2 linked regions of the Nothobranchius furzeri genome follow. The protein of the gene in region 1 purifies or fractionates together with the protein of each later gene. This does not show direct contact. Links are inferred from orthologs where the notes say so. Each region holds a gene or a part of one and is shown in the gene's direction. Other genes may lie near its edges. The genes, in order: aicda and ctnnbl1.

Region 1 (7,259 bases):
AAGTAAAAAGGTTTGAAAGCAATAGCTTTGTTTTGTAAACACTTCTGATATTTAATATTGATTTTTCTTTCTTCTTTTTTTTATGTAGCAAAGGCGCAAAATTGGACCTACAGAAAAAGAGATGCCATCAGAGGAGGTCACTGCTGAGCGAGAGCAGGCAGCAGGTCAGGTGTGGGTGGCGGACTGCGAGGGGGAGATCTTGGGCTGCATCTTCCAGGAGAGTGAGACACGCCCGGGCTTCAGGAGGATCTGCAGGCTGGTGACGGGCAGCTGGTATCGCAGGGAGGGTCTCGGTCGAATGCTGGTCCGGAGTCTGGAGCAGAGGGAGCTGGAGACCGGTACACACAGATTATACGCTCACGTCCCCTACCCGTCCAAACTGGCGGAAGCCTTCTTCAAGAAAGTGGGCTATCGACAGCTGGGGGAGGGGACTGATGAAGAAGATGAAGATGAGATAAAAACAGAGACTCCGGAGAGAGGATTTATGGGATACCCCCTCACTAAAGTCTTCTACAAAGATCTGTGAGGGATGCTGGACTTGTGCAGGTAAAGAAAGCTGAAAGGTGTCAAAAACAAAGTGTCTTCTCAGTGTGGTAACGCCTCCTATGGTCGTTTTTTTTCATTATGTGCAAAATGTATTAATTTGTGGAACTTTGTTTAACTTATGCAGGTATTTATTTATTATATGAGTTACTAAAACTCAAATCTCTCATTTGAAACGGCATCTTTCTGTTTTGATAACAGTCTTCATGATTTATTTATGCAAAAACATTACGACGTCTCAGGTGTGCTGTACAAATAACTACACGTGATAAAATAAAACGCTTCTGCAAAAGGTGTCTCCTGCTCAGTTTGTTTCTCTAGCTGAGCTACGTACGGGCGCCTTCGCTCCTTTCTGAAACCGTACAGATGTGTCGGTGTTTACAGTTACTGTATAGGAAATCTGTGTGGTTTTATGTGAATCTGCATCTTTTATCCGAGCGCTCCTCGTCTGTCTCCACTCACTTTCACACAATTGCGGGTTTATTAGTCTGCAGAATTCATCGTCATCTAAATCCAAACGCTTCTAATGAAAATGTGTTACTAATATGTTTTAAATGTCCTAAAGCTCACAGTGCATCAAACGTTCACACAGAAATCCTGTGTGGTTTGCAGGAGACAAGCAGCTCATGAGTGAAACTGCACGCGACCTCCTGCCTGAGGCTAACCTTAATATGGTTAGCAGCTCTCGCGCTTTCCTCTGAGCAGACCGACCCTCCTGCTAACCTCAGACCATCTCAGTGTCGCAGCATTCAGCCACAGATAAAACACTGCCGGATGTTTGCACACCTGTTGTGTGGAGACGAATATAGGCCCTGAGAGAACTGCTAAATCCTGCACGGCACTTTCGTTTTTTCATGAAAAACACAAACCATCTTTACAATATGCACATGTGAGGTTTGCCTTTTTGGAAAACACTGATTTATCTTGCAGGCATAAGAGCTGAGTCACTGAGCTCTAGTCTTTAGACACTTTTAACTTTCCTTCAGCTGAACACTCCCTGATTTAGCTGTAGCTTTCTCAGTGGCCTAGTGGTAGAGTGTCCGTCCTGAGACTGGGAGATCAGGGGTTCGACTCCTAGTCGGGTCATACCAAAGACTTTGAAAAAATGGGACCCAACGCCTCCCTGCTTGACACTCAGCATTAAGGGGTTGGATTGGGGGGTTAAGCCACCAAATGGTTCCCGAGCGCGGCTGTGTCTGCAGCTCACCGCTCCCCCAGGGGATGGGTCAAATGCGGAGAACAAATTTCGCACACACACCTGTGTGTGTGACAACTAATGGGACTTTAACTTTTTAGATTTAATGGCTCAGTGCGGTTATTTTTGGTCATTCATCAGGTTGTTTCCTCGTTGCTGCCGAGCTGCAGACACCTGCAAGCGGAGCCTCTGCCCGCCTGATCTGCAGCTATTATTGTTGTCAGGAAACAGATGTGAGCTCACACACTGGAAAGAAAGTCTGCTTGTAACTGTGGTCTTATGTGTCTGCACGGTACCGATGTGTGTGTGAGTGTGAGTGTGTGTGTGTGTGTGTGGGCGGGTGGGTTTCGGAAAATGTGACTTGGCACTTCCTACACTCGCTTTCTCCCCTCTGACTTTAGGTTAAATGCACATGTCTGGTCTTTGTGGACAACTCCGGCACACAAGACGCAGACAGTGCATGAGAGGAGGGCTGGTAGTGCACGTGAGCGTTCACGTGTGACTGAGAGATGACCTTGGTCAGCTGCGGTTGAGCCCAGAGAGCTGGATGGGAAGTGGTTACATACAGTCTGGCGTTTGATCAGCTCCTTGGAAGTTCAGGGGAGAAAAAAGGATCCATGCAGGCGAGCGCTGTCAGTAAGATGCGAGGCTGCACAGAGCATGCAGACACACTCCTGTGAATCAGTTGAAGCGTTGGGCCACCACACAATCATAGGATCAATTAGAGAAATTTGTTCCAGATGATGTACAGCATATAGACTGTGTTAATGGCATGGCTAACACACAGATGAGCTCCAAAAACAGCCACCCTGGGAAACGGTGAATTCCCCGAGCCACAGAGTGCACCAAAGGGTGAGGGGAGTCATGGGAAAGCCGGATGCCACCGAGAGAGCAGACAGAGCAAAGGAAACACGCTGATGATGTCTGAAAGGCTCACGAGCGAGATTCACACACACACACACACACATGCTGCGGTTGGTCAGGTGGTCCAGCAGACACGTTGGGTGAAGAAGGACGACTACAAATCTGCTCCCAGACGACAGAGTTTGGGAAAACCCAGATCAGGAGACAAGAGAGTTAAGGCCTCTGTGGTCTGGGAACGCCTGTGGCTCCACAGAATGTTGAGGGCCAGAGGAAGTGGGGGACAAGCTAGGCGGGAATCTTTAATGACATGAGGAGAGTGAAGGGGCAGGGTTACAGGAGGTCAATCAAGGTGAGGACATTTGTGCAAGTTTAAAAGGAAATTTGGAAAACTGAAGGGAATTAAATCGGGGTTTGGAAGTTTTCCATCCAACTGGTTAAATTTTCCAGTGGGGAAAAAATATCAGAAAACACTGAGGATTTAAAGGAATAGTTCACTTGTTTAATCAATACATTTGCAGTGGTTTCTATTAAGGAAGAATACCTTGTTAGTCGTTGTCCGGGGTAAAAAAACCACCGGTGCATCATTTCCAGGAACCACATCAGTGAGCCACATCACAGCTGAGCTTCAGACGGCAGGTTGTTGCTGATATTTGCACATCTCGCCACTGATTGGATAACAGCAATGCAACTCTACCGCTGACTTGCAATGCGGACATTTCATCCCCACAATTATCCAAATCCTGGAGGAGTTCTGCTGTGTGGTGAATTTGCTAATGCTAACTCTAGCTTCTACTAGCCAAGATGTTCCCTGCTGTTTCCTGGATGCTAAACCAACAGCAGCCTTCCCCGTCATGAGCCAAAATGGGTGAGTCCATGAATGTTAAGTGACAGTGAGACGTAGATCTGCCAGACTTTCTAATCCTGGAGATTCGCCATCTATTTTCTATCAGAAGCTAATGCAGGAGTTATGTGTAGGAGACTATTTTCATGTTCATCCTGCATGAAAAACTCTTGAGTAACCCATTCTAATCAGAAATAATCATTAAAAATGGCTTTTCAGTGTTCGACACCTTTAAAAAAGTCTGTGCTGCTGTGTAATCTGCCACTCTATGGAACTAGGGTTGGGACAATACCAAGTTTTGTAACTGTGACTCTTGTTAATTAGCATGTAATTCACATTTTGTAACACTTAACTTTCCTTTTGTAACAGGTCATTTAATTTTGTAGCATGTAATTCTCATTCTGTAACATGTAACTTCGGTACGTACCGTATTTTTACGACCATAGGGCGCACCGTGTTATAGGGTGCAGCTTCAGTTACGGGTGTCTTTTTGGTATTTAACACATACAAAAGGCGCACCGGGTTATAGGGCGCGGTACAACGTACCGGTAAAGCATCGGTGCGGGCTCGGGACTCGGAACATATCAGTGCAAACCAGACGTTGTGAAAATTACAAACAGCCAAAAGCATGCTTCACTTTACTGGTCTAGTCCTGGTTCAGACCTGGTTTAGAGCGCACGTGCACTTCCTCATTGCGTGCGCTGACGGCTCGTGCTCTTCTTATGCGCTGTGTTGAAGTTCAGAATGTGTTTAGTTGGTGGATTTAACCACATAAACTTTCCACATGAACAAAATCATATGTGTGTTATTAACAGGCCTAAGAAAATAGTGTGATTTGAATTGTGTTTTATTAAAAAAGGCAGCGGGAGCAAATATGAGTTCGGTTGTGCTTTATTTGAGTGCTATTAATTAATAATTAGATCCATCAAAGTCCTCATCTTCTGTATCTGATAAGAACAACTGGGCTAGAGTACAGTCACACACACCAGTTTCGCTCTCGTCACAGTCAGAGTCTGTCTCGCTGCCGTCCGTCTCCTCGTGAATGAAGCCGGCTTTTGCAAAAGCCCGAACAACAGTACAAGCAGACACATTAGCCCAAGCTTCCTCCACTTGCGAACCATGGACTCATTAATGCTGAATTCTCTCGCCGCCGCTCTATTCCCGTGTTTCTCCGCGTAGCTGTTCGCTTGCAGTTTAAACTGTGCTTCATAGGCGTGTCTCTCAGCAGGTGCCATTCTCAGGGTTGTCAGGACAATGTTCAGCATACCGCGCAAACCTGCCCTTTTGAACTATTCAGGGTCTGTCTTCGTTCATGTCCGCACGTTCTCGCCACGCCCCTTGCCGTTCTTGCCACGCCCCTTGCCTCCTACTACGTTTGCGTCTCACAACAACACAATAGGCGCACCGCACCATAGGGCGCGGCGTACATTTTGGAGAAAATTTAAGACTTTTAGGTGCACCTTATGGTCGTGAAAATATGGTAATATGAAACTTTTATTTAGTAGCTTGCAGAAAACAATCAATGTACAACTTTCAAAACACAAATCTCAGTCTACAGTTACAAACATTTCGTCCCAATTCTAGCTTGCTTCCAACAGGAATCGTCTTGAGCAGGAATCCAAGACTCATGATTGGCTGGTCAGACATAGCTTGTCATTGGTTGCTTGGGAAGGAAGCTAGAATTGGGACAAAATGTTTCTAACTGTAGACTGAGATGTGTGTTTTGAGAGTTGTGATTTAAAACGTGTACATTGATTGTTTTTTTGCAAGTTACAAAATGAAAATTTCATGTTACGTGTCAAATGTTACGTGTTACAAAACAAGAATTGCGTGCTACAAAACGTAAGTTAAAATTACAAAATATGTTACTGGTTGCAAAGCTTTGTACAAGTTACCTGTAATATTGTCCCAATCGTAGTTCCATACTACTCATTCTAGCAATAAATAAATAAAAATCAAAGAAAAGTGAAAAAAAAATCCTTTCTTTAAATAAAATAAAATAAAGCAATATTCAAATTTTGAGCTGATTTGTGCTGCAGAAAGTGACAACCACCTCTTCTGCATCACGCCCGCTCAAACTGACTGAAAATTGTTTCTGTCCAACCAGAAGCTGTCTCTGCTTTATGCAGGATGTTTATGATTAGAGGTGTAGATTCTCAGTTCCCCCCTCCTTAACCCCCTAAAGACACACACACACACACACACACACACACACACACACACACACACACACACACACACACACACACACACACACACACACACACACACACACACACACACACATTCACTTTTTCTCATTTTCCTCCATTTAATCCCGAGTGACGAAGCAAAGCGCATCTTTCAAAATGATCACAAAGCTCGACAGGTGAGACAGACATGCATTTTATTCATCTGTTGCATTTTTCTGCCTTTTTCTCACGTTGCACACGCAAATCGGGTTCAAAGAATGAATCGGGAAGTTTATTCTTAAAGCATTTACTACACTAGCCTCCTTTAATGACATTTTATTCATGAACGCTCAGGTTTCAGTATTAATAATTGATGAACGACTGTCTTGGTTTCACTAAAAGTTGTGAAACTGAGAGCGAGAGAAAGGTTTGTTAGTGAATGTTAGTTGTTGTCTGAATGCCCACTGTTCACATTCAGCAAACCGCAGACTTTACATGTTTGTCTTGCTTTCTTTTCAAATGAATCTAAAGAATTTGAACAGATTTTCTCACAGATAAATAAACAGTTCAGCTCCTTATTTAATCCTTCTGATTGAGAAAACAGCTGCTCTTTAAACGTGATCCGTCTTTAGTCTGCTGAGCGACATTGGCTTATAAAAAAAGGAAATCTCCTCTTTTCCCTGTTTGTTCCAGCATTCTCCTGCCTAAAAAGAAGTTCATCTATCATTATAAGAACATGCGCTGGGCGAGAGGTCGGTGTGAGACGTACCTGTGTTTTGTGGTGAAAAGGCGAGCGGGCCCAGACTCCTTGTCCTTTGACTTTGGACATCTTCGCAATCGCAATGGCTGTCATGTGGAGGTAAATAAGCAGCGAAGAGATGATAAATAACTGAACACATTGTGATTTTATGTAATAAAACTGTACATCATGATATATAGAAAATTGGGTTTTCGATTCTTACATTTTCTTCAGATTTTATTACATTGCAGACATTAAAACACACAATATATCTAAAGTTTTATTTCATTTTAAAACTAAAAAAACAAAGTTTTGGCTGCTTTGTAATGAAGCCATTCCTTCTCACAAACCTCCCAGCCAGCACACATATAGGTGGGCTCCATATGGAATATATATGGGTCCCAACAGGGTTTGGCTGCAGTTTCCACAGTGGCCCCATGGGGGCTTGCCCAGAAAGGTTTTTGCCCACATAGATTTTAACAGGCCCTACATGGGTTTTCAGAGGGTTTGACATTGGCAAATTAAAATCTTTGCTAGCAACCCCCCGTGGAGCCACCATGGAAACTGCGGACAAACCCTTATGGGGCCCATTCGGCTTCCCCATATATATTCTATATGGGGCCCACCTACGTGGGCTGGCTGGGCTAAAATACAATAAAATGTTGAAATGGCGATGTTTTTATAGGCAGGCCTACGTGGAATTAATATTGAGCACAAAAAAGAGGATGTGTGTTTCATCTTGAGGTCTAAATATGCCGCTCTGAAATGTTGAATCACTTTCCGATGATTATGATCCCCACACAGCCATCACATCTGCCCTGATGCAACCCCAAACACCATAAAAACAGTGTTTTTTTTTTTTCATTTTTGAATGGGAAACTTTGATTTTCTTAACTTTTGGGCATA
Region 2 (7,221 bases), on another chromosome or scaffold:
GTTCCTAATGAGTGAAAGTGTTGATGGTGGACTGATTTTGCCACTTGACTTAATGAGAAAAAGTGATGAGGACCATCGTTCCTCATCTTATTTCTGCTTTGATGTAAAATAAATCAAAATATGTTGCTATCCTGAATTTTGAGCACACTTATCTTGATCTGAATGTTGCAATCACAATAAGATTGTAATTTAATGCAATCAGCACTTCCAGTTTGAACGGCACAATACTGAAGGATGCATTTGTGTGGAAATGGTTTTACGGCATCGCCTCGGATTAATTCTGCAGGGAAATGATGAGGAGACGTCATTAGGCAGATGGTTGCATATGAAAAGCTTTGGGTCCTGTAGGGATTGTGAAATGTGTTCATTATTGTGCGAAACAACAAAGATTTGTTACATTTGACAAATCCTGCAGATTCAGAGGTTTTGCTAAACTCAGAAATTCCTCAATCAAAAAAATCTTACAAAGCAAAAGTAAAATAGGCCAAACTGATTAAATTGAGCATAAATTAAAAGCTTCAGGGTACAATGGGGCTCAACTATAAGGAGAAAAACCTTTTACATCATAAGAACATTAATGCTTTACTGTGCAAGAAAAACTATATTTTTGCCATTTTTGGTGGGGCAACACAAAGTAAAATCTAATGTAATAAAAAATGATAATAAAAATAAAAACATTCCCATTTTTTTCTAGAATTCTTGGACTTTTTGGGAAGAAATGGGAACTAAAATATGGTTTACAGAGAGATTTCCTTCCAGGCTGAAGGATTAATACATCAATCTTTGTTCATTTTGTATAAAAACAATGCAATAATACCCACAAGATTAGTCAAAAGTCTAAAAATTGCAGTCAAGTGGCTCTCTTAGAGGATGAATCTCGTATCTTCACTTCTGAGGACAAATATAAAATAAAGCCACAAGCAGCATATAAACATTTAACAGAGACCAACTTTATTCCCGTAACAGAGAAGTTTATGTAAGTAGTTTAACTGAAGAAATAGTGATAAATAGTGGCCATGATGTCATCAATTCCACTATTAAACACAACTGGAATTCTGAAGTCGGCATGTTGGTCCTTGCATCATGAGTGACAAGTTAACATCACTTTACTGCTTAGACTGTTGTGACAATTTCACATCAAACCACTTGTGATGAGGAAAATTACAATCGGTACATTCATCCTAAATGAGTTGAAGTCTCAGTTACCTGATGTTTTGATTTGAATCTGATTCAAACACATACATGCAAGTTTCAACTGAATAAAGGTTAGTTTCAATCAAATACATGCAAGTAACAATCGATTGCATGAACCTTTTCAATTAAATGCATGCAAGTTTCTATCAAATGCAGGTTTCAATCAAATACATGTAAGTTACCATTGATTACATGCAAGTTTCAATCGAATGCATGAAAGTTTCTATCCAATATTTCACAGTTTTACACTTTCAATTCAATTCAATTCAATTTTATTTACAAAGCGCCAAATCACGACAAGAGTCGTCTCAGGGTATTTCACATAATAAACATTCCAATTCTGGTCAGTTCATTAAGTCAATCAGAACAAAGTTTCCTATACAAGAAACCGAGCAAATTGCACGCATTTGCACTTAACTTGCTATCTTGAGACACCATCTTCATTATGTGATCGGTGTCATCTTTGAAAAAAAAAAAGTAAAACAATAGTTGAGTAACAACTTATTGCATTGTTCATAAACTGAGCTATTAAGCATTTAGATTACTCGTGTTTGCTTTGATTTCCTTTCCCTCTCTCCCCTTGCCCCTCGTGCGGTTGGACGTCAAGCTTCAGTGCTTGGCAGTGGCCTTCCTTTTGAATGTTGTCTCTATTGCTCTACTGTCACAGATCACTGGCCAGAGACTGGAGAGGCAACAGAGGCGTCGACACTGCTCTCCACTCAGACATTTCACAATGTTTCTCACTGAAGGGGTGATTTTCTGCTTGTCTGGAACAGTAAGAGATCCGGGCATATAAATGTCTGCGGTTATGAATGCAGCAAAATTGAGCCCATTGGACCAGAACTTCATACATGTGGCTTTGAGGAGGATTGGTAAGGAGCTCATATTGTTATTAAGTCAGCACAAAGGTAGCATAGTTATGATGCACAGACATTGATTTCTGAGCTTATTAGTTCATGCACATGTAAAGATATTAAAATAATAAGCAGGCTGGTGTCAATTTCTGATACTTCATTGTATTGTATTTTTAGTGTGCAATAAAATAAGCAAAAAGCAGATGTGCTGATTTTAGAGTCAGACAATTACCAAATTGATCCTAAGCGATAACCATTTGGCTGGCATAACAACCATATGTTTGAATTAACATTACATCTTTCATAATTATTATCTAGATAATAATCTTATTTTTAGATTGTTTGGTACAATCTTACATTGATTTACTTTGTAATATAACCCTTTTAGATACAGAGGAATAAAAAAAGCTAATTATTATTACAGTTCCATATTAATTGCTTGGTTTATGTTTACGTATTTGGCAGACGCTTTTGTCCAAAGCGACTTGCGGGTGACAATCAAGCCAGCAGGTTGCCCTGGAGGCCTTGGAAAAACATTTCTGACACACGAATTTATTGTTTTACTTTTACAAAAAAACAAGAGCTAGTTTTATACCAAAGGTTCATTCACTCATTCTCTCATTCTCTCTCTCTCTCTCTCTCTCTCACACACACACACACACACACACACACACACACACACACACACACACACACACACACACACACACACACACACACACACACACACACACACACACGCCCCGCAGGAAGAAACTGTGGAGGCTTCTGCTTTACGACAGTGTTTCTTTTCATACGGCAGGCCAGCATTTTACGGCACAGCGCCGGCATGTTCAGATTTTGTTGTTAGCTAAAAGCCAATCGTGCAGGGTTCTTTTCTTAATTCCAAGTGCATTTATCTTACGGTGAAGTGATCTAATCTGAACAAATGGACGTCGGGGAGCTTCTGAACTATCAGGTATGTATTTTTTTCAAGCAGTCAACGCAGGGAACGCTCTTTCTGTAATCTCTTAACTGTTGGCATGCATGTAGCAACACAGCCTTGCTAAAAGTTACCAATAAAATCCAGAAAGCTGATTAGTTTCTTATTTATTTATGTGTGGAGATCTACGAGTCTGTAAATTACCCATTCCTTGCGCTTCCATGGTAATGGAGCAGTTTAGCTTTTCTCATCGAAGAAAAACGTGACAGTTAGCTTGTTAGCTAATGAAGGCTAAGGATCGTCAGTTTATGTTTGCGTGGTTATTTTTGCCTCCCCTGGCTTTCCTAATGGATGCCTTTGTCTAGAGTAGTGTTTACGTCTATGTTTTTTTGTTTTTGTCCACAAAGAACAATAAAATAATCACTTATGACACTTTGTACTAACATGCAATCCTCTGCATCAGCTCTCTGTTTTTATTAACAGTTTTATTGTTATATTTGTGTCTTATTGTAAAATAGTTTGTGATTTTTATCCCTAAAATATTCCTGAAAACGCTTGTTTATTTTTAGAGACAGCAAAACGACCTGATACAAAGGAGTTTCATATAATAGTGTCAAGCATCACCCGAGAGAAGGAGCGGAGCTAGCTTTCTTTTAAATTTATTTCACATTAATTGAAAATAAGAAGTATTTTAATGGCTTTCTTCGTTTTTTGCAGAGAAATATATTTTAAGGAAAGTAGCTATTCCAAAATAAGATGGTTAAATGTATGGGTCACATATTTATTGTAACTAAATGGTGAATTACAGTTTGGCAATGTAACCATTAACCTGATTAAATTGATTGTTTACATTTGTTTATTATATAATTTTACATATTATGTTGTCATTTAGTATGGTATAAGTTTTCTGATAAGTAAAAACCAATTAGACAAAAGAAAATACATTTTCAGAAATCCTGTTCAGCCCAGATACATTTTCTTTGTTTTATTTTTTGACCAAAGTTTGTAGTTTTGTTTTAATTTAAACAATGTGAGACTCACTCCACTCACTTTCACCTTATATCCATTTATTTTCATCTTTTAGCCTGATAGAGGAGCCAAGCGCCTGAGGAACGGTGATGGAGGCGCAGGAGAAGACGACAACTCCAGAGGAGGGAAGCAGCTGAAAGGTCTGGGAGCGAGGGAGCTAGCTAGATACAGGGAGGCTGAAGGAGGAGCGGAGATGAGAGAAACTGAAGAAATAACTGAAGACCGAAAGATGATCTTGGAAAAACTGATGGATCAGGATGGGGAAGAACCTGAGGTGGGTAAAGGTCCTTTTCGTTAAGGGTGTGTACTTAAGTGAAGCGAAGCATGATTTATTACATTGTTTGTGTTAATCTGCCTAAACTGAACGCTTCATCCGTTTTCTTGCAGCAAATTTAGAATTATTAAGATAATAGCAAATTAGTAATCTAACCATTATATTGTTAGGGTTAATGCACCAGAATTAGACAGAGCAGAAATAATCGTTCTATCCATAGTTTATTGAACGTCTTAGATATTTTTGTAGTTTAATAATTAATATTAAGTAAATTCACTTTAAATTAATAATCCTTGTTGATAAAAACTAACCAGAGGATACTAAATTCCTGCTAGTGCAGTTATTATGTATCCTTAAATATAATTTCTACTTGTTTATATCTTTCTTTTACAATTTCACCAGTAAGAATATTATTTGGACATGGATAAATTATATTGCTGTATTATGTAGAACTGGACTTACAAAGAGGGGTTGTTGATTAAATGTTAAAATGGCCTGCCATACTGGCTTATTGTAGACAGGGAATTGTACAAAATTACTAAATGAACTGTCGTTCACTGTATTGTTCACTGTTCTAATATTACTGTTAAATCCCTTCAGTCACTAACATATTCTAATTATTTGTCTGCCTGATGATCTCAGACATGACAACATGTAGGAGATGTTGCAGCTTTTTTTTCTTGCCAGCTCTTCAGGTGGACGAGCCGTCGTGCTAAATTTCTCCTTTAGCAGCTTTGAGAATTTAAACTATTTCCTCACAGGAGACTTCAAGTGTTTCTCATGTGGAAAGGAAGCAGTCCCGGTGGTTCCTGAAGCTGGTTCTGCTGCGTGCGTCAGTTCAGTTTCACTTTTGTTTTGGTCCGTTAATGTCTTATTTATTTTTGGTGTTGGAGACGTCTTTATGGTGGGTTAACTGCAGCATTTCACGGCTAATCACTGCAACCCTGCAGGTCAAAGCCACGCCCTATCGTAGCCTCAGTACATCTATCATTGCCCTGAACAGTTTTGTGTCGAGCCAATCACAGAGCTCTACGTTTGTTAGGTGGGCTTAGAGCTGGAGCTGCGATGGAGAAAAACAACAAAGATGGCGCTGGCCGCTGGCTAGGGAACAGTGCTCGTTTGAAACAGCCTTGGCATCAACTTTGGACAATTTAGACTTGAGCCTTTCTTTGAGACTCGACAAGATGGATGTACTTAAAGAGACAATGTGTAGTTTTTACCATTCATTTCTGGAAGTATCCATCAAAATGTTGTTAAAGATAAATATAATGATGCCCAGTTGTTGACAAATATTGGCAGCTTTGTAACAACTTCCTGATGTAAGAGGCGAGTCTCCTCTTTGTTTTGTTAGTTTTGGCGTCGACATCATCCTAGTGCACAACGTTCCATGACTCTTAAAAAAACAGTAAAAATGCTGAAGAACGCTGGCAGCGAAGGGCTTTTCTGATCAGGAAACAGCTGGTAGTGAATAAGTTAAATGTTGTTGTTTTGCACATTTACCTCTTCACGTGTTGCCAGTGATGAAAGGGAGTCTGATGTGCTTGTTATTTTGCTGAAGTTTGCACTAACCAGGGCTTTTTGACCCTAATGGGCATCTGTTGTTAAGGTCTGACTCCAACACAAAAATACTGCTTACTTCCAATGATTTAGGTATGTACTTCCCCCTATCGCCAGGAAAAATACACACCGTCACTTTAAGTCATTTATTTAATAAAAAGAGATGCATTTGCTTCTTTGATGTTGTGTGGTGGACTTCCTCATTGACTGACATCCATAGGGGTGAGCGCGTTGCATTGTTCATTGCTTTGATTAGTCCTAGTGACGACAGTTTGATAGACAACCGTAGATTCAGCTCCATGGCGGGGTGGCTTTATTAGCTTGTGACCAGACTAAATATTTACATGTAGGATGGCTTACCAGACTAGCAAAGCGGTGCATTTGATTTAATTCTTTTCTCTGCCAACACTGTCACAGGAAAGAGGGCATGAGAAGAGTTTCTCTGGGATTCTTAGCTCCAGTTATACCATAAAGTGTAGTCTGTTTGAAAACGGCACATCTATAATTTAGTTCCTATAATACCACTTTGTACCCTTTTAAAAGATTCACTCTGTCAGGAGGTACTTGAGAGCAAAGTGCTGCATTGTTCATAATGTCAGGCAGTTGACATGTCCTAACTGGTCATTATCGCTCCAGCAGTTTAAGGCATTTAGCCATCAGGAGGTCAAACACATTCTCGTTTCTGTGAAACATTCTTAGATTCCTCCTATTGAAGAAAATTCATTTGCTCCTTTCACATAATTAAGATCGCCCCGATGGCGCTTTGCTATTGTCACAAACAGCTGCTTCAATAAAAGCCTCTTTTTCTTCTCCCCCATTCCTCTTTTCCCTCTATTTCTCCCCTTCTTCCCGCCGACTGCGCTAATCAAACAGGCAGAGCCGATTGACGAGAGCTCAGTGAAGAAAATGATCCTGACCTTTGAGAAAAGGTCGTACAAAAACCAGGAACTGAGGATTAAGTTTCCAGACAATCCGGAAAAGTAAGGCAATTGATAATTGTCCGTTTTCATTTTAAAGATCACGATAATTAAATGTTAGTTTCTGTAGGAACATGCTAAACGCAAGTGAAGCGACTTCTGGGATTTGAAAGGTAAATGTATAAAGATGCTAATATACAATCTGCGTTTTAATGTTTTTAAACCAGGTTCATGGAGTCTGAGTTGGATCTGAATGACATCATCCAAGAAATGCACGTGATCGCCACGATGCCGGACCTCTACCACCTGCTGGTGGAGCTCAATGCCGTCCACTCACTGCTGGGCCTTCTTGGTCATGAAAACACTGATATCCTTTCAGATATTTGATGAACTTGTTGATCCTAAACAGCATTCCTCTGTGCAAATAAACAAAAACAATGTTTTTATTGAGTCACCCCTCCTATCCACTGAATG

The links.
Region 2: the proteins of aicda (region 1) and ctnnbl1 purify together in Homo sapiens (affinity purification with western blotting; 3 studies listed by BioGRID, with this or other methods). This does not show direct contact. The link is inferred for Nothobranchius furzeri from reciprocal best matches to the Homo sapiens genes AICDA and CTNNBL1.

Annotation. Positions count from the first base shown.
Region 1 is NC_091745.1:73,199,511-73,206,769, reverse strand, and holds the start of aicda (single-stranded DNA cytosine deaminase), read left to right. Parts: upstream 1-3,375; coding exon 3,376-3,467; exon of another isoform or gene 3,468-6,307; coding exon 6,308-6,473; intron 6,474-7,259. Other genes in the region: nat14 (probable N-acetyltransferase 14), read left to right, coding at 1-10, 89-526. UniProt on the Homo sapiens protein: Single-stranded DNA-specific cytidine deaminase. Involved in somatic hypermutation (SHM), gene conversion, and class-switch recombination (CSR) in B-lymphocytes by deaminating C to U during transcription of Ig-variable (V) and Ig-switch (S) region DNA.
Region 2 is NC_091755.1:51,815,927-51,823,147, reverse strand, and holds the start of ctnnbl1 (beta-catenin-like protein 1), read left to right. Parts: upstream 1-2,828; 5' UTR 2,829-2,976; coding exon 2,977-3,006; intron 3,007-4,054; coding exon 4,055-4,273; intron 4,274-6,703; coding exon 6,704-6,810; intron 6,811-6,974; coding exon 6,975-7,114; intron 7,115-7,221. UniProt on the Homo sapiens protein: Component of the PRP19-CDC5L complex that forms an integral part of the spliceosome and is required for activating pre-mRNA splicing.